Caenorhabditis elegans: one gene and its partner. The protein of the gene in region 1 interacts with the protein of each later gene in a biochemical or structural test. Each region holds a gene or a part of one and is shown on either strand. Other genes may lie near its edges.

Region 1 (15,262 bases):
TTGGTTCAAAGGAGGCTACATTGACTCACATCCATCTGAATTCGAGACACCTTCCAAATACTGTCTCGAAGCTACTGGCAAATGCATACTACAATGCCAAAACGCGGCATATGTCCGTTGTCCATATTGCAAAAAATGTATCTGCTTTCACCATTGGGTGGGAAGTGGATTCCCAGCTCACAGATGCTCCTAATTCACGAGTTTATTACTTTTTTTAAAAATTAACGTTATGTTCTGTTCGTTCTGCTAATTTCTTCCGGCGTGTTTTCAAAATTTTCTGAGATTTCTATTTTTTTTTCATGACTTTGATGATGAAAATTTTGATTTTTTTTGAAATTTTTTTAATTCAAAAAATGTGAGAAAATGTGATGCAAACGTTTATAAGAAACTCAAAAAGGTGGAGAAAGTCAGTAAAAGTAATTTCAATCACACTTTTTACTGTTTTTAAAATACAGTAAAACTTTTAAAAAAAGCTTTATAACGCAAGGGATCGAACCCACAACCTTCACCACCAGAACCCATCTCGTTACCACACAGGTAAACCGCGTCATGCGAGCAACTGGTGAATAACGAACGAACAGCCGCTAACACGCGAAATGTGATTGTAAACAACAAATAATTTTGTGAAAAATGTTTTCCACTGATTTTTAAACTTTCATAAGGATCCCCTTATGATTCCTCCGATGTTCCAATTTTGAGCAAAAGGGTCCCCCCTTATGGTTGAAAAAAGTTTTTCGCCTAAATTTTTTTTTTGAAAACTTTTCAAAATTTGCTCAGATGTTACAGAAAATGCAATGTTTGTAGTTTTTTTTTAGTTTCAATGTTCTAAACACAATTTCAGACCAAAACCTGAGGTGTAGTATGTAGAACACCTATGTTCAAAAACGCTTTCACTTTGGATGCTTATATCTCCGTGGAAAAATTTTTTGTGACAAAGCGATCAACTACAAAGTTGTTTATTTTAATCTAATGTACAACTTTGTAGTTGAACGTTTTTCTTCAAAAAAATTGGTGGTCGAGATAGGAACAGAAAAAGAAGTAGAAAATAAAAGCATGAAGCTTCCGCAATTAACACAACTTTATCTCGACCACCAATTTTTTTGATGAGAAACGTTCAACTACAAAGTCGTACATTAGATTAAGATAATCAACTCTGTAGTTGATTGCTTTGTCATAAAAATTTTTTCCACGGAGATATAAGCATCCAAAGTGAAAGCGTTTTTGAACATAGGTGTTCTAATACACTTCAGGTTTTCGTTTGAACTCGTGTTCAGCACATCGAAACTAAAAAAACAATCATTTTTACATTTTTCTATAACATCTGATCAAATTATGAAAAGTTTTCAAAAAAAAAAATTTCGAAAAAATTTTAGAAAATTTTCATAAGGGGGGAGCCTTTGGATTTTTTTTCATAAAAATCGAAAAATTTTTTTTTTCAAAAGTTGTCAAATATTTATCAGATATTGTAGAAATATGTTTACTTGTTCGTTTCAATAAGTTTTCTTACCAAATGTGGTGCTTTCGAAAACTAACAAACTGTAAAAACCTCTATCCCTCTAACAGATCTACCTGATATGCCAGTTTTTCGAAGTCATGTCCCACATCGGGCAAGCAAGATATCTAAAAATTGTCAACTACAAACTTTTTTAGTTTGTTATTGAACATGTTTCATACTTAATAGTTTTTTGCTTTCTGTGCAGAGTACGGAGATATCATCAGTCATAATTAGTGATATTTGACTCATAACTAGGTGCTCCTATTTGCTCAGCCATCCAAGATGGAAAAAAGTTACAATAAATAATTTGTCAATCACTTTATTCACAACAACTTTTTAGTTGACAAGTTTTTCATATTTAAGCTGCCTGCGGAGGTAGAACATTTTGGAAGTACTGACTTTCTATGAACAAGCCAAATTGACTGTTGTATTTTTTTGCCCAGGAGTGCGATTGAGCTATGAAAACTGTGGAAAATACTAAAATATACATTTCCTACACAAGTATTGCAGTATTGAAATTTTTTGGAAAAAAAATTTTTCCCAAAATTTTTTCATAAGGGGGGACCCTTATCAAAATTTTAAAATCAGTGGAAAATATTTTTAATTAAATTTTTATTGAACTTAACTTTTTTTCAATTATATGTTGGTTTCAATCACAAATCACATTTACGACTCAAAGTGATTTTTTCTTTTCTACGACTTCAATATAAGAGCGAGAAACCATTTCAAAAGAAGCTCCAAACGCAAATGGCAACGACACTCCGAAATAACGGTTGCGCGCCCTCTTTACCGTAAATCCTCCTCATTTTCGAAATTATTTTTTCACCATTTTTTTCTTTTTCTTCGATTTTTCATAGTTTTCTTCAGCAATTCTTTGATTTTTTTGGCAAAAATAATTATTTTCCGTAAATATACTCGTGTTTCAGCATATCCGACGTTGAGGTACCGATTCATCCGCGGATCCGACGCGGAATCCATAGAAATGGAGAGACTCGTCTCTGGAGTTTGGATGGGAGTGTGCTGCTGATTCTGAAAATTCGAGTTGATAAAATTTTGGGTTAAAAAATTAATGATTACATTGACAAATTGAGCACAAATTTCCGACTTCCGGTCTTTAATTGTAGCATGGATCTCGACTTAATGGACGAATTCTCGGATCAGAGTCTAGCATCAGGGCAATCAAACTGCGAAGATCTGTAGAAGTTCCAGCGAAGACAGTCAGATGGGACAGAATAATGTGATCGACGATGCTCCACCACCAACACGCTCACGTGGACTGTGATATTTGTCAACTCGACGATTATTCATCACGTAAGAAAAATAGTTGATACTTAATTAAAAACCATTTTTTGTTTTCAGCGACTTCAACAATCACCGACTCCTGCCGCCTCGTCGCCTCGGAACGTGTCATCTGCATCGACAAACCCGTCCCCATCCGAATAATTTTCTATTTTTTTTCAAATTTTATTTTATTTTTTTATAAAATAAAAATTTTTATGAACTATCAATTGTTATTAAGGAACCGCAAATTTCAATATATGGCGAATAACGGGGTGCCAGCTAGCTGGGCATTCGGAGCGTCCTCATCATTTACCGGTCCGTTTTTCGCGAGTTCTTCATCGAATAGCGGCCCGCGCCTTCACCAAAGCCATGTACCGTTTTCGCGAAATAGCGGCCCGTCACCCGACGAATATTCGCATGACGCGGTTTACCTGTGCACTCAACCAACCAACCGATGATTTGCTCACACCACGCGCCTGGTGACAACTATGGTGTCCCGGGCTGATGCCGACCGTTGATTTAGTATACAAATCAACCGATTTCAGACCGAATTTTCAAAACGTCATAACTTTGCTGAAACCCAACCTGGGCAGCTAAATTTTTTGGAGGGATCATCTGGAATACTCTTCTATTGGAATTTCAACATGAGAATCCCAAATCTAGGGACCCCCTCAAAGACTTCCCTTGTGAGGGAGGTTTTCGTTTTTAATTAAAGATTTTGCAGCATAAGACAATGGGAGAGTTTCAATATAATTTCGATGATGAGGATACTGTGCTGATCGGAAATTATGAAGAAGTTGGAACAGAAATTGATGAGGCAGATGAACAACATAATGAGGAGAACAGTGAAGATGATGAAGAGGATGAGAGCCCGATTCCTTCAAAAAAGCGAGTTTCGTTTGCTGTTCCACTTGTTCAAAGTCGCTCCAAACAAAAGGATGAAATGAATAAAGTTCATATCATTAAATGCCATTTTGATGTGAGTTTCTGAGAACAAATAAATATGAAAAATCAACATTTTCTTCCCGTTTAGAAGTGTAACAAATCGTACAATTGGCGCAAAAAATACGGTAAACTACGTCTTGTGGATCACGCCTTCACTCATGTCCCTCACTTGAAAATGAAGTGCAATTTTTGTGATTACATGTGCAAAGGAATTAGAAATATTAGGCTTCATCACAAGAAAAGTCATCCTGATGAACAATTAACGGGATTTGGTATCAAAAGGTACTTTGAGATTCCAAAAATTAATGTATTTGTCTTATTTTTCAGTGTGGTCCGTACTTCGAAAAAAGGAAAAGACTTGGCGAAGGTTTGGGATGAATGTTTTAAAAGTAAGTGAAGTATATATGAAAAAGTTATAATTTAAAATGTTAACTTTCTAGAAAATCGTGTCCTTCAACATGGATCTGGTACCGATTCAAACCTATTGCATTTCTCAAGACAAGACAAAGGATCTAAAAGATCACAGAAATCTATGGATTCTGGTGCAAAACAAAAATTGGATGAAGCTAGGGACGAGGATGTGAAGCCATTTTAGTGAGCATTAAGTTTAAAACATTCCGCGTCATTTTTTTATTCAGTTTCTTCAGAATTCGATGAGCTTCGTCGTCGGGCCGTCTGCTTTTTGTAAATTGTGTCTCATGTGTTATTATCGTTGATGTTATATTATGTTGTTTTTAATGCATTCTATGCGACTTTTCTTTTAATAATTCTGAAGGTCTTCATTTTATCACCGCTTTAATTTATAATTACGACATGTTGTTTCACTCAAGTTTGAAAATATTTCTTGCTAAGACCTACTTTAAATGTTAATCGCCGTTTCATTTGGAACTTTCTTGCTGCTGCCCATTTTCGATATAACTTTTTGAAAGTGGAGCACTCCAGATAGACTTAAAATTCTATTAATTTAAATATGTTCTTACAAGAATTTTCTAGATGACCTGCGATGATTGGAACAGTTTTATTCAAGTGAACATTTATGGAAAAACCATAGAAGGACTTCAGCAGCAAGGAGTTGTGTTGGAAACTCTTTTGGTTAGTTTGATTAATAATTTTGATTTCTCGTTATACTTTTTTTCCAAAGTACATATTTTCAGAACAATGTCGGCTGCTCCAAGCTTTGGATTGTGGAGGGATCCGTGTGCACCAGCTCAACTCCTGAAAGCTCTACATATTCTGAAAAACGTACAATCGAACCAGTTGTTTCACTAAGTACAACTCTGGCCACTAACAAGCTTCCTCGATTTTCAACTCCTGCTGTCGGCCATTCAAAATATAATTCTGCAAAAAATTTCACATTGAATTTGGCTGAGAAGCTATCGGAGATTCTATCGGATGACGATAAAACTGATAAATGCCTGGAGAACTCTTATCAATCCGAAACTTCCAGGGAAGACGTGATTCAGGATTTGCTCGAAGAAATGGTACAAACTGTTGCCGATGTTGATCAAGCTCCGATTCTTTTGAGCACAACTCTCGCAAATATTGGTGTTCCCCGCTTTTCAACTCCCATCAAACCACAAAATGGTTTGGATCGAAAGTTTACAATGAACATGACAGAAAGAATTTCCGAAATTGATTCGAATTATCTTGGTTATGAAGTACTCGACGATTCCAACAAAATTTTGACCGCCAACTGCGAGGAAGTCGAAATGTCGTTGTGTGAGAACATTCCTGGTGTCAACAATGCCAGAACTTTCTCAAATACGCCCTACGACGATTTTCTTAATATTTATTCGACTCCAAAAAATCCAAAATCGAATTCCAGTGTTCCATATCAGGAAGGAAAGAGGAGAAGCTCGAGACGTTTGAGTACTCTGAGTAGTCTCAAGGAAACTGTCAAAATAGAGCCTGCAGTCTCAAAATCAACGAAGAGAAGTCGGCTCGCGTAAGTTTTTTTTTTCGTTGCGAGCTTTCTGAATTTTCGAAGTTCGTTTGGAGAAAATGTAATTTCTTTCAAAATGATAAATATGGGTTTTTTTACTAACTGTATGTCTAAAAAGCTCAGGTTCAAATTTTAGATGCATCTAAACTTTAAGCAGAACTCATGTCGATTAAAAAAAAAGTTCCATTATTTAAAAAAAACTTTTTTTGGTATCGAAAGGACTAAAGTTATAAATATACTCAAAACTCCTAACGATTCCAATCACCGATAGTTATTTACTTAAGAATTTCGTTATTTTCAGGCCGATTCAAATTTTAAGTCAAACTGTGCGTCCTAATATTGAACATACATTTCCTGTTTCTACATCAGCTATTCAATCAGATGGTTTTTCGTACGAACATCCAATTAATGAATATGGAGATAATGAATCATTTTCATCAGCAAAAAGTCATTGTGATGAGCCCAGTTTTTGTAATGCTGTCGACTTGAAGCCAGTTCTGAAAGTTTTGAATTCTGGAAGAACAGTTTTGACTGGAAGCATTATCAGTGATCAACCTCCAGTCATAGAACTGTCAAGAGATGTAATGTTTAAAAATCGAATTTGAAATAATCACAACTTGTTGAGTTATCCGTTTTCATTAATGAAATTGCAGCATAACATCGAAGGAGTGTTTCAAAATAATTTCGTTGACGTCGAGGATACTATGTTGATTGAAAACTATGAAGAGGTGGGAGCCGAAATCGTTGAAGTAGATGATCAAGATCAGTATGAGGTTATCAGTGAAGATGATGAAAAGGAAAAGAGCCCGATTCCTTCGAAAAATCGAGTTTCATTTGCATTTCCACTTGTTCAAAGTCCCAACAAACAAAAAGAAGAAATGAATAAAGTTCATAACATTAAATGCCATTTTGATGTGAGTTGTTTTGCCGCGTTGTCAGAGAAAAAACTGAATTTCAATAAAAAGTCGCATAGATATAATGTGTTTCAATCAATAATCTTTTCAGAACTGTAATCGAAAAATTCACTGGAAGATTCGTTATGGAAAACTTAGACTGGTCGATCATGCACTATCACATCAAGAGGAAAAATCCATTGACTGCCAGAAATGTGAATATTCATGCCAGACAACTCGACAAATGCGTTATCACTACAAAAAGATTCATGCAAATCTGAAAATGGAAGGCTTCGGAATTCTCAAGTGAGATTTTTTAAAACTAACCGTTTGAAAACTGATAAACCCCTCTTGTAGCATTCCTCTTCAAAATACCAAATTCTCAGATGTATGGAATAAATGTTTTGGAGGTACATTATTCTAATTATTTAGAGATTACATGCTATTCAAATTCCAGATCAACTGAAAACGATCGGACCCGTTAGAAAAGCTGAACGAACTCCTCGTCGAAAACTCAAAAGTATTCGCTTATAGAAAACCAAAATCTCTTCTAGAGTACAAGCGGAAGATGTGAAGATGTTTTTGTAAGCTCCATAACTGCTCATATCACTAATTTCAAATCCAGTTTTAACAGAATTTAATGAGCATCACGACGACACCCTCATGTACAATTATTATCATGTTCTAATTATTTTGTAGTTTTACAGAAATAAAATACAGTGTTTTTTCAGTTAATTGTGTTTTTTTTTTTTGGATTAATCGTTCTTTTGACGAATCAAACATGATATTTTCACAATTATTTAGAGTCAAAAATGTAGTTTTTATAAATGTAAATGTTAAAAATTATTTCAAAAAAAGAAATGCTGTATGCAACAAAATTTAAAAACTAATTGTAAGTAAATACAGTATTATATTTCTTCCTACCGTATACTTTCAAGGCACATTATACTTTTGTCAAAGGTCTCACAACGATCAGGTCTTTCTTCATTTCTAGATTTGTCGGAAGTATTTTGTTTCGTTTCCGCGTTTTAGTTCCTGTTCTTTTTGTATTTTAACCAGTAGATGAATAAAGACTGTTTTAAGCCTGATATTTATCATCATGATAACAAACTTTCAATTTCTTCACTATTCATTGCGATGAATTTATGTAAATAACGGTTGTCGATACGCCTGAGAACATGTTTTTGGACATTTTTTTAATTCTTGATGTTTTCATGGTATATTTTTCAGATGACCTGCGATGACTGGAACAGTTTTATTCAAGTGAACATTTATGGGAAAACTATAGAAGGTCTTCAGCAACAGGGAGTTGTGTTGGAATCTCTTTTGGTTGGTTTGATAAGGAAATTTTATCTTTTGCTATTTGAATTTGAATAGTAGTTATTATTTCAGAACAATATCGGTTGCTCCAAGCTTTGGATTGTGGAGGGCTCAATGTACACGAGCTTAACTAATGAAAGCTCTACATATTCTGAAAGTACAATCGAACCAGTTGTTCCACTAAGTACAACTTTGGCCACTAACAAGCTTCCTCGATTTTCAACTCCTGCTGTCGGCCATTCAAAATATAATTCTGCAAAAAATTTCACATTGAATTTGGCTGAGAAGCTATCGGAGATTCTATCGGATGACGATAAAACTGATAAATGCCTGGAGAACTCTTATCAATCCGAAACTTCCAGGGAAGACGTGATTCAGGATTTGCTCGAAGAAATGGTACAAACTGTTGCCGATGTTGATCAAGCTCCGATTCTTTTGAGCACAACTCTCGCAAACATTGGTGTTCCCCGCTTTTCAACTCCCATCAAACCACAAAATGGTTTGGATCGAAAGTTTACAATGAACATGACAGAAAGAATTTCCGAAATTGATTCGAATTATCAAGGTTATGAATTATTCGAAGATTCCTCCAATGACTGTACCACTTTGATCCCCAACTGTCAGGAGGTCGAATCGTCATTTTATCGAGCACTTCCTGAAGCAGCTAGTTCCATTGTTCCATATCAGGAAGGAAAGAGAAGAAGCTCGAGACGTTTGAGTACTCTGAGTAGTCTCAAAGAAACTGTCAAAATAGAGCCTACAGTTTCAAAGTTAACGAAAAGAAGACGGCTCACGTAAGAATTTTTCTGACGAGAATTCTGACCGTTCGTATAGCGAATTAAGCAACGTTGATATACTTACTCTATTTTCAATTGAAGACAGACCAAACTTCCAATAATGCCAAAAACCAGTAAAATTAAATATATACTTGAGAATTTCATTGTTTTTTAGATCGATTGAAAGCTCAAATGAAACCATGGTGCCACACTCCGAACCAATTCCACTGGATAAAGATGGATTCTCATATGAACAACCAATTAATGAATATGGAGATAATGAATCGTTTTTGTCAGCAAAAAGTCTTTGCACTGAGCCCAGGAGTTCTATTTCTGAGGACGTGAAGCCGGTTTTGAAAGCTACGGATTCAGAAAGAACAGTTTCGATTGGGAATCATATCGTTGATCATCATCCAGTCATAGAACTGTCAACTGAGGTAGGATTGAAGAGATTTCCTTTATTTCTAATTTGTAAATTGTCGCAACATGATGAGATTTTCGTTTTTAATTGAATATTTTGCAGCATAATACCATGGGAGAGTTTCAATATGATTTCGATGATGAGGATACTGTGCTGATCGGAAATTATGAAGAAGTTGGAACAGAAATTGATGAGGCAGAACAGCAGAATGAGGAAAACAGTGAAGATGATGAAGAGGATGAGAGCCCGATTCCTTCGACGAAAAAAGTTTCGTTTGCTGTTCCAGTTGTCCAACGTCTTAACAAGCGAAACGAGCAAATGAATAAAAATCATATTATTAAATGTAATTTCGAAGTAAGTTCCGATCTGAGCCATTTCTTAGGGAGGATGTTCAGGAAATATGACAACATTTAAAAAAAAGAAGCTATTTTCAGGGTTGTAAGCAAATTCTCTCGTGGAAACTTCGATACGGCAAACAACGACTTCTGGATCATGCAATGACTCATGAAAATGAAAAGTGTCTCGTTTGTCGCACATGTGAATACTCTTGCAGTACACATCCCCAAATGAAGTATCACTATCAAAAAATGCATCCAGAAGTGAGGTGTGATGGGTTTAATATTCAGAAGTAAGCCGTCAATTGTTCAATAAATTATATAAAACACGATTATTTCAGAGTGTTCAATATCGAATTTGATGAAGTGGCGATTTTCGATCTTTTCCAAAAGTGCTTCGGAGGTATTAGACAGATATGAAATATTGATATTCAATGTGTAATTACAGCACATTCTTCCATCATCGGAAATATTGGGAAACCGCGGAGATATAAAAAATGTAAAAACTCGCTGAAAAATACTCCAGAAGTCGACAATGAGAATGTAGATAAAGACTCTCCAGGACCATCACACGATCTTTTCTAGTAGGTTTTTCCATATACTTTATTTTATTCTGAAGTTTAGTTTTCGCAGAATTCGCTGATCGTCTTTCGCTACGACTCTGCACAATGTGTTATTTGTCAACTCATGTAACATTTGCAATGTTTTTTAGTAATAGTTTCATTGTTTTGTTTTGTTTTTTGTTTGTTATTGTCGAGATAAACTTATAAAATATGTTTTTCATTAAAAAATAACTTGTTTTGTAAATTTTTTGTCCGCGAGTTTTTCATCTATAATACCTTTTTTGACTATTAAATTCAGTTCTGTATATATGTGATATCACTAAATTTTAATATACCTTCTTAAAGGCACACGGAGTTATTCAGATGGGCATCGAGGCGCAAAAAGTTTATGGTACTTTTCTTTAACTTTTTCGGCTGCTTCATTCCTTTTTTAAAAACATTACTTCGTTTTTTGCTAATTTTCTTATTAACTTTGCATTTTTCTGTTAAATTTTTTTAATATCCTTCTTCGTGTAAAACATGCATTTTTGATCATAAATGTTAATTGTACTATGGAAAAAACTGATCTAAAACAATTTTAAACAGGAAAATGAGTAGAAAACGACAAACTTCGCTAAAAACTAAGTGATTTTTTCTTGAAAATACAAGAAAAGCGTAGCAGCAAAAAATTGAAAAAAAACCTAGGTTTAAACCTATTTACCATACACTTTTTGTGCGGCGAGACCCATCGGAAAAAATACGAGAAGGCTCGTCAATATCTTGTTAAAATATGAAAATTTTCTAATTTCAAAGATGCATGCCAGATTATTATGAAATAACAGATGACATGCATGTAAATGGGTCTTCTGGCACGATATGGTGCAGCAACAGCAGAATGAGGGAAAACTAGGCCCTCGTGTAAAACGAGATTATTTGTTTTTAATTTGAATATTTAATGCTGTGATTCCCTTTATTTTTGTTGCTCGACCCTATTTAAATGTTTAATAATTATTTTTTCAGATACGATAAATGAATGGAAATTCTTTAAATTCGTTTGTTAATATCAGAATCTATGGAAAAACTCTGGAAAACTTGAAACATTATGGATTGATTGAATATTTGGTAAGCCTATCTTTTTTTCATTGCTGAGTATTCGTTTTTGAAACTATTACGATTTACAGAATGAATTCGCCGGTGGCAGCTCATTTGTTTCCCTCACCGAGAGCACGTCGATATCTTCAATCAACACTGCTACAGTCGATACTCCTCGTTTCTCCACTCCAATCGTTCCAAACGTAGGATTATATCAAAAATTCACACTGAATCTTTCGGAAAAAATATCCGAAATTGGACCGAACGACGAGAACGAAGATTTGAAGGAAAGCTATGATCAAGAACCAGAAGAAGAACTAAATAGTTCACATGAAAGTAATAATAGTGTGGAAAAAGTTATGGATATGATAATCGAAGATGTTGTTTCCAATCATACGACGAATATTGCAGATGGAGACGAGTACGTTTTTTTTTAATACAAAATTTTTTTTTCAATAATTTAAACTCTTTTAGCAGTGAATCTTAAATTACGCTGAATATTTTCTCGTAGTCCAAATTAAAAATTCATTCACTTGTTTTTTCAAAGCTTCGAACCTGTTTTAGACATTACCCATATGCAAAATTTTGTAATTTTTACCCTAGAGATCGATTTTAGTTTAATTCAAAAAAGTGTGCGCCTTTAAAAAGTACTGTGGTTCCCAGATTTTTTTTGTTGAATCATGTATATTAAAATACATCAAGTTTTGAAGAAACGGAGGAAAAACTAGGAAAAATTAATGCGGATTCTGCAAAAACAAAGTTAGTAACTACAGTACTCCTTAAAGGTGCATTCTTTTGAACCTGAAAAAAAACGGTTGCCGAGAGACCGGGTACCGTTAGTCACAAGAATTTAAATTTCGTTTTTTTTTCAGTATTAATTCGCCGATTGTATCATCTGGACAGTCGGAGTTTCTCCAAGACGGTGTAGACAACGATGGAAATATTGATGATTATGAAGAGTATCAGTCATTACCACCGAATGATGATGTTATTATGAATGAAACAGAATTGATGGATGTTGATCGAACCACAGTGATGACTCCATTACGAAGTCCTACATTTTTCGATTATCACAACGAATCCGGTGATGAAGATCAGTTGAATGAGAATGAAATGAAATCTCCAGACAGCAAAAACGACGAGATTAATAAAGATGAAATCCACAATATTCAATGTCATTTCCCGGTGAGTTAAATTTTCTGTTTGTTTTTTTCCATTACCTGGATTGTTGCAGAACTGCAATCGAGCAATTGCGTGGAAGAGGAAATATGGAAAACTTCGTCTTATCGATCACGCATTGGTCCATTGCGATAAAAACTTTCTGAAATGCAAAAAATGCAAGCACACTTGTCATACAATCCGTCAAATGCGTTATCACTATCGCATTTTTCACTCAACATCAAAAATGGAAGGCTTCGGAGTGTCTGGGTAAACTTTCTGAAATTAAAATATTTCAACAAATTGCAAATTTTTCAGCTTGCCAACCAAAAATAAAGGATTCCAAAAAATTATGAATGCTTGTTTCGCAGGTAAGTATCAAGTTAAAAATTATAGTTTTACATCCATATGGTTTTTGATTTTTTAGATTTGCTCTAATTTTTAAATTTTTAAAATCTTCTTGATAAAAATCGACTCAAAAAATTCATTTACTGTAGGCCAAATTGTTCAATTTAATTTCAAACATGGATTGGAAACTGAAAATTCTGTTTCATAATTCAGTTGAAAGTCAATTGTTCAGATCAATTGGTCGAGATGAACAAACGAAAAAATCCTCCAAAATCTCAAAATGGCAGCCGCCGTAGCCGGGTCAAGTCAAAGTCCAAGAGAAGTGGCATCTAGAACTTTGCAAGTTCACAGCCGTTTTATTTTGTAAATATCGGCATATTGCATACTTCATACATTATACATGCCTACAGCACGAATCTCGAAATTTTAATATAATTCGGTTTATGTCATATTTCTACAAAGTTTGTGTCATTAATAAAATCTTATTGATAATCAGCTCGAGATTAGTAAAACTTTGGCTCAGAAAATGGAAATTTAAGATCTGGCGCTTCAAATTGTTTAAAATGATATAAATCTCTACAATCAGGTAATACAAGGGTTAATGAATAAAATTCTTTCAATGCTGTTTGATGTTCTCACAGATTCCTCATCGTACTTTTACGACAAATTCGGCGCCTAAAGCGTCACGATACCCATAAAAAGACACACCGGACCTATAAAAACTTCTTCCTCCACCACTTCTTTTTTTCGATACGAGACGCGCTCATAAAAACGGATATTCATCATTATATACACAGAGATGAAGCAATTTTTTACCTTCTCTTTTTTTCCATTATTTACCGGTCTTATTTTTTAATGGAAAAGTTCCCCCTCTTCGGTCAACTATTTCGATAATCGCTTCATTTATTATAATTGGAGTGAGCGTAGTGAGGCTGTTGCGGTTCAATTATTATGAGCGACCGGCGTGAAAATGGATAGGAATTTATGATGAGTTTCATGTCGGCTCTTTGCAAAATTTGCGTTGCATTCTATGAAATTGCGAATTGGAATTGGAAACAATTTTAAATGACCTTTTGATGTTATTCAAATACTATCCCTTCTAAGAATTTTTCGGCTGACTCCCCGACAACTATGTGCCAAATTTGTCAAAACATATTAACTTGTTCAGAAGTTGTCAAAATTAGGCAAAGGTTAGGTAGGTACTTGGATTAAGCAAACCCAAGTTTAAGCTGATTGTAAGTTTATAATTTCAGAATTAAAGATTTTATTAACTGTGAAAGTTTGAAAGTTTCAGATCCATCCAAAATAATAATTATTTTTGGAGTTGATTTCAAGCATACTTCTACAAAAATTTTTCATGTTATGTGATCATGTAAAGATGATTTCCAAAACTTTCAATCCATTACCCGATATTTACACTATCTTACTGTACCGTACTTCTAAATCATTAATGAGATTAGAATACGTTATTCAGATAGATGTTTGGAAACTGTTTAGCTAAAAATCTTAATTTATAAGCGATTACTATTTACAAATTTACAAAATATGTCTAAATACACCATAGAATAGTTCAATATGTATGGCCAAAAATCATAAGAAAACGATCCAGGAACTTTCAAAATTTTCTAGTAAAGTTGTGGTAAAATGCATTTTTCACAAGGTTTCGTAATGTTTCAACTAAATGTTCCATCTGTAAACAACTTAGTAATTACTGTAGAACAGCTTTTTGTGGAAAGCTCTCAAATAGTTTTGCCGACTAAAATGAACAATTAAAAAACCTGAACAGTTTATTAATTCTGTTTTGTACTTTTACAAAACACCTTCATAGTTAAAGTTTTCCCTTCGATTATTAACTTGAGCCCAAGAAACAATTACGCTTAGCTCTAGAAGCTTCGTACGTAGAAGCTTTGAACCCTAGTTAAAATAAAAGTATGTGTCCAAATCCAAAAAAGATCAACTGCTCTTAACGAAATCTGGCGAAATTCAATTTTAGTAAATCGAATTTCAGAATATTTCATCACGATGAAAAGGACACATTATTATGAAAAGTGCAAAGTGTTGCAAGGATCTTTGAAAATAATTTATTATGGAATAGGAAATGTTAAAATCACTCTAGCTTACAAGATAAGTATAGGTAATACAAAAAATATTTTCTGTGTTAAGATTTTACTATAGTTACAATAAACAAAGCGGGATATTTCCTTGATTATTATGTATCTCCGTGAGTGATAATATTAGTGTATAACTTTTAGTTATCATATATAACTTGGGAAAAATATTTAGCAATAGAATCGGAGCAGAAACTTCACCCTAAACATTAACTATGAGTCTGATAAAAATTTGAAGCATCAGTCAAATCGAATTTTACATCCATCTTCCTTCAATTTTGTTGTTCTTTTTCTTCGTTTCTATTAATCATCCCTTTCTTGTCCTTCTTCAGTTGGTATTCTTCATTTTTAGTGAGAAGTCACTGCTAACATTTCCAGCTGGTTACATCTTTCACACTCTCTTCTTCCAGTTTTTATTCTCTTATTTATTCCATATATTTCTGCTTCGAAGCGCTTACTTACTTACCACCTCTTCATTTCACCAGTAGAGAGAAAAAAAGGGTCGACCCGACCTTCGCTCCGTTTTTTTTTCGACATTTTCTCCTCAATTTTCCTTTTTCTCAAAATTGGTCTTCGAGGATAATAAACTTTGTCCGGCGCTGTGTG
Region 2 (15,582 bases), on another chromosome or scaffold:
CCATGCAATTTCACCCCGAAAACCAATTTTTCAGAAGTTTAGTGCAAAATTCCGTCAAATCAGGTGCCAAGTCCGCAAACACCGTGCTACAGTAACCCAACACACCAGATTTGACGCAAAAATGCACTAAATCGCTGAAAATAGGGGTGTAGGAGTAATTTTGGCTGGGAAAACCGAAAATCGACTTAAATTTCGATTAATTTGAAGTTTAAACTCAGTTTTTGAACTTTTTTCGAAATTTTTTGAAAAATATCGAATTTTCCCAGTTTTAGATCAAAATTTACGGTTTTAAACTAGAAAATTTGAATTTCCCATTCAATTTCACCCCCTGACCTCAAATTTCAGCTCATTAGTGCAATTTCCCGTCAAATCAGGTGTCAAGTCCGCAAACACCACGCTACAGTAACCCAAGACACCAGAATTGACGCGAAATTGCACTAAATCTCTGAAAAATGAGGCTTAGGGGTTTTTTGGCACGGAGAATCTGAAAATCGACTCGAAAATTGAAAAATTCAGAGTTGAAGTCTAGTTTTTTTCAAATTTTCAGAAAAATCTCGAATTTTCCTAGTTTTAGGTCGAAATTTGCGGTTTAAAACTAAAAAATTGGAATTCCCCATGCAATTTCACCCCCTAGCCCCAATTTTCAGCGTTTTAGTGCAAAATTCCGTCAAATCAGGTGTCAAGTCCGCAAACACCACGCTACAGTAACCCAAAACACCAGATTTGACGCAAAATTGCACTAAAACGCTGAAAAATGGGGCTTGGGGGTAGATTTCCGCGGGAAAGTTGAATTTTTAGGTTTTAAACTTGAAAAATTAACGGAAAACCAAAAAAAGTTAGGATTTTTGCAATTTTTCGGGAATTTTGTCGAAAAAAGGGGGTTTTGCCCATTTTTCTTCAAATTTTTCGACTTCTTCTCCGTTTTCTTTCGAATTTCTTCGATTGTAGCCAATTTTCCATCATTTTTGGCGCTTACAGCAGTGGAATCTGGTCACTGTCCTCCTCATTGACCTCCAGAAGCCACCCAAATCCACTATTCTCCATAAATTTTCCAGCGGCTCCAGCATTAGTACGACGATAAGCCTGAGCTGAAATTTGTCCAGTCGGGCTTGAAATTGAGCCGGAATCTGCAAAAAAAAATCGATTTTTTACGGAAATTTCTAGTTTTTTGGCCTAAAAATTCAGATTTTTCGTACTTGGCGCGTTAGATGACTGGTCCGGGTGCTCAAATTGCTCGAAATTCGACGAGTAAAAGCCATTTAAGTCGATAGAGACCTCCGGTTGCTTGACTCCAGTGCCCGGGTAGTCCATTTTCACCAAATTCTGAAAAAAAAACGGGGGTTTTAGGTGGTTTTCAGCGATTTTTTCGAGAAAAATATGAAGAAAATTCAAATTTTCGACAAATTTCATGCAAAAAATCCATTTTAAACAGGTTTTTACGTTAAAAACGTTTTAAAACCCGGAAAAACTGAATAAAATCCAAAAATTCATTGAAAAATTACGGTAGTTCTTAAAGGCGCAGTACTCGTTATCGATGGGTCTCGCCGCGATTTTAATGTTTTTTTGTGATTTTTTAATTTTTACTCAATTTTTGCAAGCTTTGGTTGTTTTTTTCACGATTTTCAAAAAACTTTACAAAAAATTTGAAAAAAAAATCGACTTTCCTATTGATTTTGAGTCTAAAACCAATGAAAAAGTCAATAAATTCGTTAAAAAAACTACGGTAGTTTTTAAAGGCGCAGTACTCGTTATCGATGGGTTTCGCCGCGTCTCGCCGCGATTTTCGTATTTTCGTATTTTATTTAGGATTTAGTTGTTTTTAATCGAATTTTCGCGCAATTTTCTTCGTTTTTTTCGCAATTTTCTCCATTTTTTCGCAATTTTCTCCATTTTTTCAGCGATTTCCATGGTTCGCGGGACAAAAAGACGTCGGAGCTCGGCGGAAAAGTAAAAAATCACCAAAATTTGCCCCAAAAATCGCAAAAAATTCAATTTTTTAGGCCAATCGTGGTGGTTCCGGTCACCCGAGACGACACGATGCCCGTCGACGAGGATCTTGTCGTCGGAGAATCACAGTGTGCTGCTTCAAAACCCTTCGCGAAGCTTGTCGGCGTCCGCCGAGGCATTTCTTCCATCGGTTTGTCGATTTTCCCGCAATTTTCACGAAATTCCGGCTAAAAATCGATTTTCCAGACTTGGCAGACGATCATTTCGTGTGCGGACGCGGCTCGGATGATGCTCCGACGAATTTCAACTTTTCTCAAGTCGCCAAAGACGTCGGGCTCTACAGATTTATCTCGAAAATTCAATTTTCCATTGATAGAGTAGTTTTCTACTGAAAAATCGCCAAAAAAATCAATATTTCAGGACACAGAAACGCGTAGAATCTATCTACACGATCACTCACGCAACGGGACCCTCGTAAATCAGGAAATGATCGGAAAAGGGCTGTCCAGAGAGCTAATGAACGGAGATTTGATCTCTATTGGGATTCCAGCGCTGATCAGTGCGTTTTTGACGATTTTAAAGCTTTAGGGTAAAATTGCCCAAAAAAACGGGTTTTTCCGCCAAAATCCGTCGATTTTTCCCAAAAAAACCCCGAAAATTTGCAGTTTTCGTGTACGAAAGCGCCGACGCCGACCATCATCCGGAGGAACTGACGAAAAAATACCACGTGACGAGCCATTCGCTGGGAAAAGGCGGTTTTGGCAAAGTTTTGCTCGGATACAAGAAATCCGATCGATCAGTGGTACGGGCGGCGTGGGAAAATGCCGAAAATTGGAGAAAAATCGATAAATTTCCAGAAAAATCGATAAAATCTCCGAAAATTGTGAATTTTCGCCAGTTTTGGTGCATATTCAGCCATTTTTTTTGCTGATTTTCACCTAAAAACCGCCAAAATTTACCGGAAACTTGTGAAAATTCAAATTTTCCTCTGAAAAATGCGATTTTTAACTGGAAAAACACATTTATCGATGAAAATTTGCCGAAAACCTTGAAATTTTCACGGAAAATCGATAAAAACCCTCAATTTTTGTGGGAAAAATCGATTTTCAGCCATTTTTTCCCGGAAAAATCATCAATTTTTCATGTTTCAGGTGGCTATTAAACAGCTCAACACACAATTTTCGACAAGATGCAGCCGAGCAATCGCTAAAACTCGAGATATTCGAAATGAGGTTGAAGTTATGAAGAAGCTCAGCCATGTTAGTAATACACGAAAATTGCTGAAAAATCGATTTTTACACGGAAAATTGCTGAAAAATCGAAATTTTCCGCATTTTTCGCTGAAAATTCACGAAATTCGATCAAAAAAGCATAATTTTAAGCGAAAATTGAAGTAATTTTGGTCAAAAATGCTCAAAAATGAGAATTTTCCAGTTTTTGGGCGCTGCTAACACTACAAACTACACATTTTTGGGCGCTCCTAATTCAATTTCAATGGTTTTTGGCCTATTTTCGAGCCATTTTTCACTAAAATTATCGATAAAAAGTGATTTTTCGCGTTAAAAATGCTCAAAAATGCCATTTTAACCCTAAAAATTCTAATTTTTCAGCCAAATATCGTTGCAATTTACGATTGGATCACCGTCGCCAAGTACTCATATATGGTTATCGAATATGTCGGCGGAGGCGAATTTTTCTCAAAAGTCGTCGATTCCAAGTACAATCGAATGGTAAATTGGCCGAAAAAATCCCGAAAATTTCCCTAATTTTTCCATTTTTTCAGGGTCTCGGTGAATCGCTCGGAAAATATTTCGCTTTTCAGCTAATCGACGCGATTTTGGTAATTTTTAGGTAATTTTTCGTCGCTAAAACCGCTCGTTTTTTTTCAGTATCTTCACTCTGTTGGAATCTGTCATCGTGACATTAAACCCGAAAATATTCTGTGCTCGGATAAAGCGGAGCGGTGCATTTTAAAGGTGAAAATTGGCAATTTCTTGGCTCAAAAAAGCTGAATTTTAGTCAATTTTCACCCGAAAAACCTCCAAATTTGCAGCTAACCGACTTTGGAATGGCGAAAAATTCGGTGAATCGAATGAAAACTCGCTGTGGAACGCCGTCTTATAATGCGCCGGAAATTGTGGCGAATGAGGGTGTTGAGTACACGCCAAAAGTCGATATGTTAGTAGAATCATCGGCAAAAATGACTTAAAAATTCGGAAATTTGAGCGAAAATCACTCTAAAATTGTGAAAATCGATAATAAATTCGAATTTTTCGTGGAAAAATCACTAAAATCGATGGAAAATGAAGTTTCTCCACAAATTTTGGCAGAAAAATTGAAATTTTGAGCCAAAAACTACGAAAATTAAAGAAATTTTAGCTTTTATGCTGAAAATCGGATAAAAATCCCATTTTTCAAGAGATTACAGCCGAAAAAAATCAATATTTCCCCGAATTTTGTCAGTAAAAATGGAAAAATTGGAAAAAAACTATCAAAAAAACCGGAAATTTGGTCAGAATTTATTAAAAATTCATGTTTTTCACAATTTTTGACTAGAAATTGCCCAGAAAATCTCAGTTTTCGGTGGTTTTTCACCGAAAAATCGAGTTTTTCGATGTTTTCCCTTCAAAAATTGGAAATTTGGCAAAAAAATTGAGATTTTTCATAATTTTTCACGAGAAAATGCCAAAAAATCTAATTTTCAGCCACAATAATCGAAAAAAAAAAGATTTCCGACGATTTTAGAGTCAATTACACATAATTCCCCGGTTTTTTGAATTTTTTTCGGCGAAAAACTCTAATTTTCAGCTAAAAATCGATAATTTTTGGTGAAAATGAATCAAAAATGGAGATTTTCGTGAAAAATCCGATTAAAAACGTGTTTTTTTCAAATTTTTCATCGAAAATTCGGAAATTTGCTCAAAATTTGGCTAAAATTCAGTAAAAAAACCGTTTTTTCCTGGAAAAATGAGCCGAAAATCAATAATTTCAGTGGAAATTTCAGAAATTTGTGTTTTTTTTAATCAATTTTCAGTCGAAAAATGGATATTTCCCGATATTTTGCCACTGAAAGCGGAAAAATTGGAAAAATCTCTCAAAAAACCCGGGATTTTGGTCAGAATTTATTAAAAAATTCAGGTTTTTCATAATTTTTGACTAGAAATTGTCCAGAAAATCTTAAATTTCGACGGTTCTTCGCCGAAAAATCGAGTTTTTCGGTGTTCCCCTTTCAAAAATTGGAAATTTGGCATAAAAATTGAGATTTTTCCATAATTTTTCACTAGAAAATGCCAAAAAATCTCATTTTCAGCCAATAATAGTCGAAAAAATGCCAATTTTTGCCGATTTCCAGTAAAAATTGGTCATTTTTCCTCGAAATTAGTCATAAATCCCCGGTTTTCTGGGTTTATTTCGGCGAAAAACTCAATTTTTCGGCCGAAAAATCGATTTTCTCCACATTTTTCCATGTTTTTATGCATTTTCAAGTAGTTTTTGGCATATATCTAGACACTTGAAAATGCGAAAAAAAATGATGAATTTTTGATGAGATTCCGTCTTTTTTCGCCTCTTTTCCAGTAGAAATTCCCATTTTTCATAGGAATTTTCATGGCTAATTTGCAACTATTTGGATTTCCTCGTTTTTACGCCTAATTTGGCAATTTTCGTGATTTTTTTCGGGGGAAAAATGCGGTTTTCGACCGAAAAATAGCGTTGAAATTCATTTTTTCGTTCAAAAAACGGAAATTTTCGATAATTTCCGTGGAAAATGACAAAAATTGCCAATTTTTTCGCTGAAAAATTGAATAAATACGAAAAAAAAAACCCAATTTTCATAGATTTTTGCCGCGAAAATCCGAAATTCCGCTCGGAAATCACAAAAACTTTTTCACAAAAAATATATCAATTTTATCCAAAAATTCGATTTTTTTTTTTGAAGAAAAATTCAAAAAATTGAGGTTTTCGCCGAAAAAAACCCAGAAAACCGGGAATTTACGTCTAATTTCGAGTAAAAATGCAAATTTTTACTGAAAATCGGCAAAAATTGGCATTTTTTCGATTGTTTTGTCTGAAAACTAGATTTTTTGGCATTTTCTAGTGAAAAATTATGGAAAAATTTTAATGCCAAATTTTCAGTTTTTGAAGGGCAAACATCGAAAAAATCGCATTTTTCGGCGAAAAACCATCGAAAATTGAGATTTTCTGGGCAATTTCTAGTGGAAAATTCGTTTTTTTTTTCAGCCAAAAATTGTGAAAAACCTGAATTTTTAATAAATTCTGACCAAATTTCGGGGATTTTCATAGTTTTTTTCCCAATTTCTCCACTTTTACTGACAAAATTTGGGGAAATATTGATTTTTTTCGGCAGAAATCTGCAATTTTTACGAATTTTCGACACTACTTTTTGACTCAAAAATTCTATTTTCGGGTCAAAATTTAAGAAAAACTGGCTGAAAATTGAGAAAAAAACGTCGATTTTCACCCAAAACTCGGATTTTATTAAAATAAAAATTTTAAAAAAATTGGTTTGTTTTTTCTGGGGAAAATTGGATTTTCGACCGAAAAATTCATTTTTTCGTTCAAAAATCGGAAAATTTTTAAAACAAATTTTCCCGAAAAACATGAAAATTTCAATAATTTCCGTTAAAAATGACCAAAATTCCCTAATTTTTGCCCGGAAAAATCCGAAATTCCGCACGAAAATCACAAAAACTTGGTTTTTTCGGTCAAAAATACCGAAAAATTTGCAAAAAACTCAAGTTTTTCCACTGAAAATTGGAAAAATAAATCGATTTTTATATAAAAATTCAAAATTTTAGCTTTTCCACTCGAAAAATTCAATTTTTGATGATTTTTCTACTAAAAATTGGAAAAAAAAACGTCAATTATCTCCCAAAAAACTTCAAATTTTCACCAATTTCTTTGCAGTTGGAGCCTCGGATGCGTACTTTTCATCACATTTTCCGGTTATCCACCGTTCAGCGAAGAATATACGGATATGACGATGGATGAACAAGTTTTGACAGGTAAATTGACGAATTTTCAGTGAAAAAAACGGATTTTTGGGCAAAAATCCGTGATTTTGACCTAAAATTCGGGAAAAAATGCGAAAAATAGCCGTTTTCCAAGCAAAAATAGAAATTTTTGACTCGAAAAAGAGCATTTTTCGGTGTAAAAATGCTGAAATTTCGATTTTCAAGCCATTTTTCCGGCCGGAAAACTACCGAAAAAATCGATTTTTAGCGTCTAAAAATTCCAATTTTTCAGGCCGCCTAATCTTCCACGCACAATGGCGTCGAATTACTGTCGAAACACAGAATATGATCAAATGGATGCTTACTGTCGAGGTAAACATGAAAAGAAAATTTGAAGAAATTGGCCTAAAAAATCGAGAATTTGGAGTGAAAAACTGGAAAAATCAGCGAAAAATGAGATTTTTAACTTAAAATACTGGAAAATATGGATTTTTTTGGGGTTTTTCGCCTAAAAATATGTAAAATCATAAAAAATGGCCCAAATTTGATATTTTAAAGTTAAACTACCAACTACAAGTTTTGGGCGCTGCTAAGACTACAAACTACAAATTTTGGGCGCTGCTTAGACTACAAACTACAAGTTTTGGGCGCTGCTAAACTACAAACTACACGTTTTTGGGCGCTGCTAATTCAAATTTTTAACTTTTAAAGTGGTTTTTTGCATTTAAAATGTATAAAATTACATTTTAAAGCCAATTTTTTCAGAAAAAAAAGTAAAAAACTCCAAAAAAAGTGCCGAAATATGAAATTTTCAGTGAAATTTTTCGATTTCTCGTCGAAAAACTCACTAAAAATCAATAATTTCCTAAATGTTTCGCTCTAAAAACGGCCAAAACTTCAAAAATTTCTTCGCCTTAAAATCCCATTTTTCAGAGCTAAAATTTCCTCAATTTTCAGCCATCAAACCGCCCGTCTGCCGTCGAACTAATGAGTACTCAATGGATGAAATGTGCGGATTGTCGTACTGCGAAACAGGATATTTTGAAGAGTATTAAGCCGATTTCAGCAGCAGCTCCAGCTGCACTACAAACTACACAAGCTGGACCTGTGAAAAAGGTCAAAAATTGGAGATTTCTGGCGAAAAATGATGAAAATTCACTGAAAATCGCGGAAAATTGACGAAAAATTAATAAATTTCCATAAAAATCAATAAAATTTCAGAAAAATCAATAAAATTTCAGAAAAATTGATAAATTTCCAAAAACAATAAATTTCCAGAAAAATCAATAAATTTCCATAAAAATCGATAAAATTTCCATAAAAATCAATAAACTTCCAGAAAAATCAATAAATTTCCATAAAAATCAATAAATTTCCATAAAAATCGATAAAATTTCCATAAAAATCAATAAACTTCCAGAAAAATCAATAAATTTCCATAAAAATCGATAAAATTTCTAGAAAAATTCGCAGAAAATCAAATTTAACCCGGAATTTTAGTGATTTCACATAAAAATTCAATATTTCTATTTTTTCGGTTTTCGCTCACGGTTTTCGCTTGAAAATCTTAAAAATCTCATAAAATTAGCGTTTTTCAAGTAAAAACACCTGCAAAAATGGAAAATTTCAGAAAAATGCAGCTAAATTTCAATTTTTTAAAGAAAAAAATAGCGAAATCCACTAAAAATTGAATTTTTCAACTAAAAATCGCAAAAAAATGTTGAAAATCACGTTAAAACCGGAATTTTTCGATTTTCAGCAAAAAATATATGAAAATTTCAATTTTTTAGCCTTAAAAACCCTATTTTCAGGCAAAAATGTGAACAACGTTCCACGTGGGTCCCCACCACTTCACCGCCGCAAAAGTCCGCAATTTGTCGTCAAATCGGGTGTAATTGCGTCCAAGATGTGTCTTTTTGAGGTCTCTTCAACACATAATTTATCATAAATTTCGAATTTTATCCCCCAATTCCCCGTAATTTCCATATTTTCCCGTTAAAATTTTTTTAAAATTCCAATTTATAAGCTCCCAGAGCCCCCCATTTTATTGCGTTTTTCTCCCAAAATTTCGAAAATTGTTCAATTTTTTTGTGTTTTGCCCCACCTCTTGTGCTATTCTCACATGTAAAATTCCGATTTTCAGCATTTTTGATGGGAAAAATCGGATTTTTTAGCTTGAAAATTGATTTTTTTTTAGCTTGAAAATCGATTTTTTTTTTAGCTCGAAAATCAGATTTTTAAGCTTGAAAATCGGATTTTTTAGCTCAAAATTTTAAGCTTTTCCCCCAATTTTAGCTCAGAAATCTGAATTTTTGGCTAAAAATCGAAAATTTTTCTGCAAAAAATTCGAAAAAAATTGAAAAATCCCTAAAATTTGCAAATTTTTTGCCAAATTCTTGAGATTTTATGCTTTTCCTCCTATTTTTTTGCCTAAAAATTCGAATTTTCAGCTAAAAATTCCTATAATTTTCCCAAAATTCTCAGCTTTTCCCCAATTTTTAGCTCAGAAATCTGAAAAAAATCGAATTTTCCAAATTTTTCAGCTAAGAAATCCAATATTTTTCCCAAATTGTGTGGCCAAAAATCCCCCCAATTTGCCCGAAATTCTGAGCTTTTCCTCAATTTAGAGCTCAAAAAATCGGAAAATTTCGCTAAATTTCAAATTTTCCACATTTTTCAGCTAAAAATCCCCCAATTTCCCGAAATTCTAAGCTTTTCCCATTCTTTTTCATTTTTTTTTCATTCTTTTTATTTTTTTTTTCATTTTTTTTTCTAAGCTTTTCCCCCCCCAAAAAAATTTTTTTTTGTGAAATTTTCTGTAATTTTTCTCTGTTCTGTTCTGTTTGCGTTTTTGTTTTCAAAAATTGAACTTTTTTTGTTAATTTTTTTCTAAATTTGCAAAGCTTTTTTCTAGCTCCGTTTAATGGTGTCTTTTCCCATTTTTTTTGTGATTTTTCGGAATTTTTTGCTCTGAAATCTGAAATTCTCAATTTTTAGCTGAATTTTTATTAGGCTTTTCCCCCATTTTTTCAGCTAAAAATCGATAAAAGTCCAAAAAAATTCAAATTTTTTGAAAAAGTGTAAACTTTCAATTTTTGAGCTAAAATTCTAAGCTTTTCCCCATTTTTTTGACTGTAATTTTGTACAATTTCCGGAAAAAATTTGAAAAAAATTGAATTTTTGAAATAAAAAAACACAAAATTTAAAGTTTTACAGTTTCCTCTAACTGAAAATCTAAATTTTTTTTGAAAAAATTCCGAATTTACTAATTTTTGCGGAAAATTTATCGATTTTTCTGGAAATTCATTGATTTTTCTGGAAATTTATTGATTTTTCTGAAAATTCATTGATTTTTCTGGAAATTTATCGATTTTTTTGGAAATTTATCGATTTTTTCGGGAATTTATTGATTTTTCTGGAAATTTATTGATTTTTCTGAAAATTTATTGATTTTTCTGAAAATTTATTGATTTTTCTGGAATTTTATCGATTTTTCTGAAAATTTATTGATTTTTCTATATTCAGAATGCGATTTCTTTCCACATATCAAACGGGTGCTCGACGATGTTGTACAATGCTTTTCCAGAAAAATGCCAAGTCAATAAGAGCCACGTTGATGAGCACAACGGCAGCGGCAGAGGAGTCACGAAAAATAGTGAAAGAAGAGGTTTTTGAGGTAAAAAATGTGAAAAAAAAGGAAAAAAGAGAAAAAAAGAGGAAAAAAAACGAAAAAAAAAGGAAAAAAGAGGAAAAAAGGAAAAAAGAGGAAAAAGAGGAAAAAGGAAAAAAATGAGAAAAAAAGGAAAAGAAAAGAGAATTTTTTTTAAAGAGAAAAAAATGAAAAAAAAAACAAAAAAGAAAGAAAAAAGAAAAAAAATCATTTTTTTTTCATTTTTTTTTCTTTCTTTTCATTCTTTCTTCATTTTTTTTTCCTTTTTTTTTCTTCTTTTTTTCACTTTTCGTTATAAATATTCTCTTAGACGTAAAAAATCGTGAAAATTTAGAATTTTTCTGTCTCAAAGTCCAATTTTCAGCAAGGGAAAAAAACGGAAAAAAATGAAAAAAGAAAAGAAAAGAGGAAAAAAAGGTAAAAAGAACGAAAAAAAAATGAAAATAGAAAAGAAAAGAGGAAAATAACGAAAAAAAAAACAAAAAAAATGAAAAAAAATTTTTAAAAAATGAAAAGAAAGAGAAAAAAAAATGAAAAAAGGAAGAAAAAAAACGAAAAAAGAAAGAAAAAAAACAAAAAAGGAAGAAAAAAATCAAAAAAGAAAGAACAAAACAAAAAAAAATGAAAAGAAAGAGAAAAAAAAACGAAAAAAGAAAAGAAAAAAATGAAAAAAAATGAAAAGAAAGGGGAAAAAAAACGAAAAAAAAAATGAAAAAAGGAAGAAAAAAAAAGAAAATTTTCCTTTTTTTTTGCTTTTCCCCCATTTTTCATTCCAAAACCGCGAAAATGTCCAATTTTTTTTTCAGTTAGATGGTCGAAAATACACTCCAGACGCATTATACAACCTGTCACCAGGTGTTCGACGGCTTTTGGATCGCCGTATCCTCCAAGAATCTTCGAATCCGCTGAATTTGTTGAAAAGAAGAATTGTCGATTATGTACATCAAACATACAGAAAACCAGGTAAAAAAAATACGTGAAAATTGAAGAAAAATCAATGAAATTTCAGAAAACTCGATAAATTTCCAGAAAAATCGATAAATTTCCAGAAAAATCAATAAATTTCAGAAAAATCAATAAATTTTGTAAAAAATTTTTTTCTCAAATGTTATTGATTTTTCTGGAAATTTATTGATTTTTCTGGAAATTTATTGATTTTTCTGGAAATTTATTGATTTTTCTGGAATTTTCACCTTTTTTCCAGGAAATCGCTCGCCACTCTTCACAATTTGTGAATCCGAGCCTCGTGTCGTCACTACTTATCAGAATTTCGACTCTTTACTGACACCGGAGGATCATGTGTCAAGGTTGGGATAAAAATGAGGATTTTTTGCGGAAAATTGGGTTTTGAGACTGAAAAATTCGAGTTTTTCACGATTTTTTACGTCTGAGAGAATTTTTTTTTTCAAAATGAACAAAGAATGAAAAAAAAACGAAAAAAGAATGAAAAAAAACGAAAAAAGAATGAAAAAAGAATAGAAGAAATGAAAAAAAAAAAGAAAAAAGAATGAAAAAAAAGAAAAAACATGAAAAAAAAAGAAAAATAGGAAAAAATGAAAAAAGAATAAAAAAGATTGAAAAAAGAATGAAAAAAATGATAAAAGAATGAAAAAAGAATGAAAAAGGAATGAAAAAGGAATGAAAAAAAAAGAAAAAAAAATATAACGAAAAAAAAACGAAAAAAGAATGAAAAAAAAAACGAAAAAAGAATTAAAAAAGAATGGAAATAAAAACGAAAAAAAAATGAAAAAAGAATGAAATTTTTTTTTCTTTTTTCGTTTATTTCTCTTTTTTTTGTTTTTTTTTTGCATTTTTTTTCATTCTTTTTTCATTTTTTTTCGTTTTTTTTCCCTTTTTTTAAAAATTTTTCTCCTTTTTTTTAACTTTGCATCATTTTTTCTAATGAAAATGAAAAAAATAAATAAAATTGTAGTGAAAAATCCGAAATTACCAGTTTTAAAACCAAATTTTAAGCCTAAAACGTCAAATTTCAGTCCAAAAATCGAAAAAAAAATTTTAGACGTCCCTCAGATACGTACTACGTGAACCATGAGCACTGCTTGCGAGCCCATACCTCGGCTCACCAGCACAATTTAATGCAATCGGGTCTCGACGCGTTTTTAGTGATTGGAGACGTCTATCGGAGGGATGAAGTCGATCGGACACATTATCCATGCTTCCATCAGGTTCGAAATGGAGAAAATTTGAAAAAAATCCAGAAAAATCGATAAATTTCCAAAAAAATCAATAAATTTCCAGAAAAAATCAATAAATTTCCAGAAAGATCAATAAATTTCCAGAAAATCAATAAATTTCCAGAAAATCAATAAATTTCCAGAAAAATCGATAAAATTACAGAAAAATCAATAAATTTCCAAAAAAATCAATAAATTTCCAAAAAAATCAATAAATTCCCAAAAAAATCAATAAATTTCCAAAAAAAACGATAAACTTTTTTTTACGCTGCCAAGCCTAATTTTGAACCCCTTCAACCTATAAAATCATAATTTTTGTGCTCCGATCAGGCTTTTAGCTGTGAAAATCTGAAAATTCAGGCCCGGAAGCCTAGTTTCAGGCCTTTAAGCCTAACAATTGAACTTTTTTGTGGCTTCTGTGCCTCTACTCGAATTGGTGGTACAAATCCGGTATTCTCGGCTGAAAATGCAATAAATACCGCGTTTTTTACCAACAATTCGCGATAGAGCGCATTTGCCACCGGAGATGCGGAAGCTATGCCCAAATTTTCATTTTTAACTCAAAAACTTGTGTGAAAATTTGCAAATCAAATTTTGATTTTTTGCAGATCGAAGGTGTTCGGCTCTACTCGAAAGACGAACTACTCGGCAAAAAGCCGGACGGAAAAAATGTGGCCGAACTTTTTTCCACGGCCGCCTCCGCGGCCACGGAGAGGTCCCCTGAAAAACAGGAAAAACACACGTTGGACGCGACGAAAGCCGCCGAAATTCAACTGAAACAGTTTCTCGAAAATCTTTGTGATGAACTTTTCGGAAAAGACGCCGAAAAACGATGGGTTGATGCATATTTCCCGTTTACACATCCCTCGTGGGAGTTGGAGGTGCGGGCGGAAAAATCCCCATTTTCGACAGGAAAATCTGAAAATGGCAATTTTTTACCAAAAAATTCGAATTCCCCGCCGCAAATTACCCCTAACCCCCCAATTTTTCAGCGTTTTAGTGCAATTTTGCATCAAATCTGGTGTCTCTGGGGTTACTGTAGCGCGGTGTTTGCGGACTTGAAACCTGATATGACGCAAAATTGCACAATTGCGCTGAAAGTCGGGGGTCAGGGGTAAAATTGCATGGGGAATCTGAAAATCGAATTCAAATTTTAAGATTTCGAAATTGGAGCTCGGTTTTATAGACTTTTGAGCATAGGATTTTAAGACAAATTGGATTTTCACGGTTCCAATTTGCAATTTTCGATTATTAAGTGAGAAATTCGAATTCCTCGCCGCAAAATACCCCTACCCCCATTTTTCAGCGTTTTAGTGCGAAATTTCGTCAAATCTGGTGCCCTGGGTTACTGTAGCGCGGTGTTTGCGGACCCTGGCACCTGATTTGACGAAAAATTGCACTATTGCGCTGAAAATCATCGGAGCCCAGAGGTAGTTTTGCACGAGAAACTCGAAAATCGCGACGACAATTTTGCCAAAAAGATGAACGTTTTTTCTGAGATTTTGAAGGAAAAATCTCAAATTTTCTGCAGTTCGGTTGAATTTTTTCGCTCTGAAATCAAAAAATTCGAATTCCCCACTGCAAATTACCCATCACCCCAATTTTTCAGCCCTCTAGTGCATAATCCTTTCAAATCTGGTGCCAAGTCCGCAAACACCGGGCTACAGTAACCCAAAACACCAGATTTGACGGAATTTTGCACTAAAACGCTGAAAATTGTGGGTTTAGGGGTTATTTGCGATGGGCAAAGCGAATTCAATAGTTTCAAAACAAGAATTCCAGCCTGAAATTGTAAAAATCAATATTTTCCTGACTATTTTCAAATTTTCACCAAAAAAAACTTTGGCGAAAATTAAAATTTTCCAATTTCCGAGTTGATTTTCAGATTCTCCATGCCAAATTACCCCTAACCCCCGATTTTCAGAGTTTTAATGCAAAATTCCGTCAAATCTGGTGTTTTGGGTTACTGTAGCGCGGTGTTTGCGGACTTGACACCTGATTTGACGGAATTTTGCACAAAAACTCTGAAAATTGGGATTCAAGGGTAATTTGGTACGGAGAAACCGATTTCAATAGTTTCAGAACGAGAATTCTGGCCTGAAGTGGTGAAAATTCATAATTTTCTAAAAATTTTCAAATTTTCACTGAAAAACTTGTTCCAAAACTCTAAATTTTGAAATTTCGAGTTGATTTTCAGATTCTCCATGCCAAATTACCCATACCGCCCAATTTTTCAGCCCTCTAGTGCAAAATCCCGTAAAATCAGGTGCCATGGTCCGCAAACACCGCGCTACAGTAACCCAAAACACCAGATTTGACGCGAAATTGCACTAAACCTCTAAAAATCTGGGTTTAGGGGCAATTTTGCACGGAGAATCTGAATTTTAACTTGAAATTTCAAAATTTTCATGTTTAGACCCCCGAAAAATCCAATTTTTCAGGTTTTCTACAACGGGCAATGGCTTGAAGTGCTCGGTTGTGGAATTATGGAGCAAAAATTGCTCGAATCCGCCGGAGTAACTGACAAAATTGGTTGGGCATTCGGTATAGGGCTGGAGAGAATTGCAATGGTGCTCTATGGAATTCCGGATATTAGGTAGACTTTGAAAACTCTGATTTTAAGTGAAAAATTCGAATTCCCCGCGCAAAATTACCCCTACATCTTGATTTTCAGCCATTTAGTGCAATTTTCCGTCAAATTTGGTGTTTCGGCTTACTGTAGCCTGGCGTTTGCGGACCCTGGCACCTGATTTGACGGAAAATTGCGCTAAAACGCTGAAAATTGCGGTTAGGGGGT

What was found.
Region 2: of the proteins of zim-3 (region 1) and chk-2, one has a biochemical effect on the other in vitro, tested with the Caenorhabditis elegans proteins (one study listed by BioGRID).

What each region holds. Positions count from the first base shown.
Region 1 is NC_003282.8:10,550,935-10,566,196, forward strand, and holds zim-3 (C2H2-type domain-containing protein), read left to right. Parts: upstream 1-7,780; 5' UTR 7,781-7,786; coding exon 7,787-7,885; intron 7,886-7,948; coding exon 7,949-8,670; intron 8,671-8,827; coding exon 8,828-9,089; intron 9,090-9,175; coding exon 9,176-9,427; intron 9,428-9,507; coding exon 9,508-9,701; intron 9,702-9,749; coding exon 9,750-9,811; intron 9,812-9,856; coding exon 9,857-9,992; intron 9,993-10,032; coding exon 10,033-10,051; 3' UTR 10,052-10,276; downstream 10,277-15,262. Other genes in the region: zim-1 (C2H2-type domain-containing protein), read left to right, coding at 3,501-3,755, 3,810-4,003, 4,049-4,110, 4,162-4,315, 4,360-4,378; zim-2 (C2H2-type domain-containing protein), read left to right, coding at 4,715-4,813, 4,876-5,666, 5,965-6,244, 6,317-6,577, 6,669-6,862, 6,914-6,966, 7,014-7,090; him-8 (C2H2-type domain-containing protein), read left to right, coding at 10,980-11,072, 11,132-11,463, 11,915-12,227, 12,277-12,470, 12,519-12,571, 12,781-12,881.
Region 2 is NC_003283.11:19,902,298-19,917,879, reverse strand, and holds chk-2 (Serine/threonine-protein kinase chk-2), read left to right. Parts: upstream 1-1,856; 5' UTR 1,857-1,906; coding exon 1,907-1,947; intron 1,948-2,000; coding exon 2,001-2,137; intron 2,138-2,193; coding exon 2,194-2,324; intron 2,325-2,367; coding exon 2,368-2,506; intron 2,507-2,612; coding exon 2,613-2,749; intron 2,750-3,098; coding exon 3,099-3,206; intron 3,207-3,557; coding exon 3,558-3,677; intron 3,678-3,730; coding exon 3,731-3,787; intron 3,788-3,836; coding exon 3,837-3,923; intron 3,924-4,000; coding exon 4,001-4,125; intron 4,126-6,873; coding exon 6,874-6,971; intron 6,972-7,212; coding exon 7,213-7,292; intron 7,293-7,877; coding exon 7,878-8,036; intron 8,037-8,731; coding exon 8,732-8,743; 3' UTR 8,744-9,794; downstream 9,795-15,582. Other genes in the region: Y60A3A.19 (Protein YIPF), read right to left, coding at 977-1,127, 1,197-1,311; fars-2 (phenylalanine--tRNA ligase), read left to right, coding at 10,447-10,596, 11,397-11,553, 11,795-11,897, 12,611-12,776, 13,394-13,666, 15,227-15,381. UniProt on the Caenorhabditis elegans protein: Serine/threonine-protein kinase which is required for checkpoint-mediated cell cycle arrest, activation of DNA repair and apoptosis in response to the presence of DNA double-strand breaks.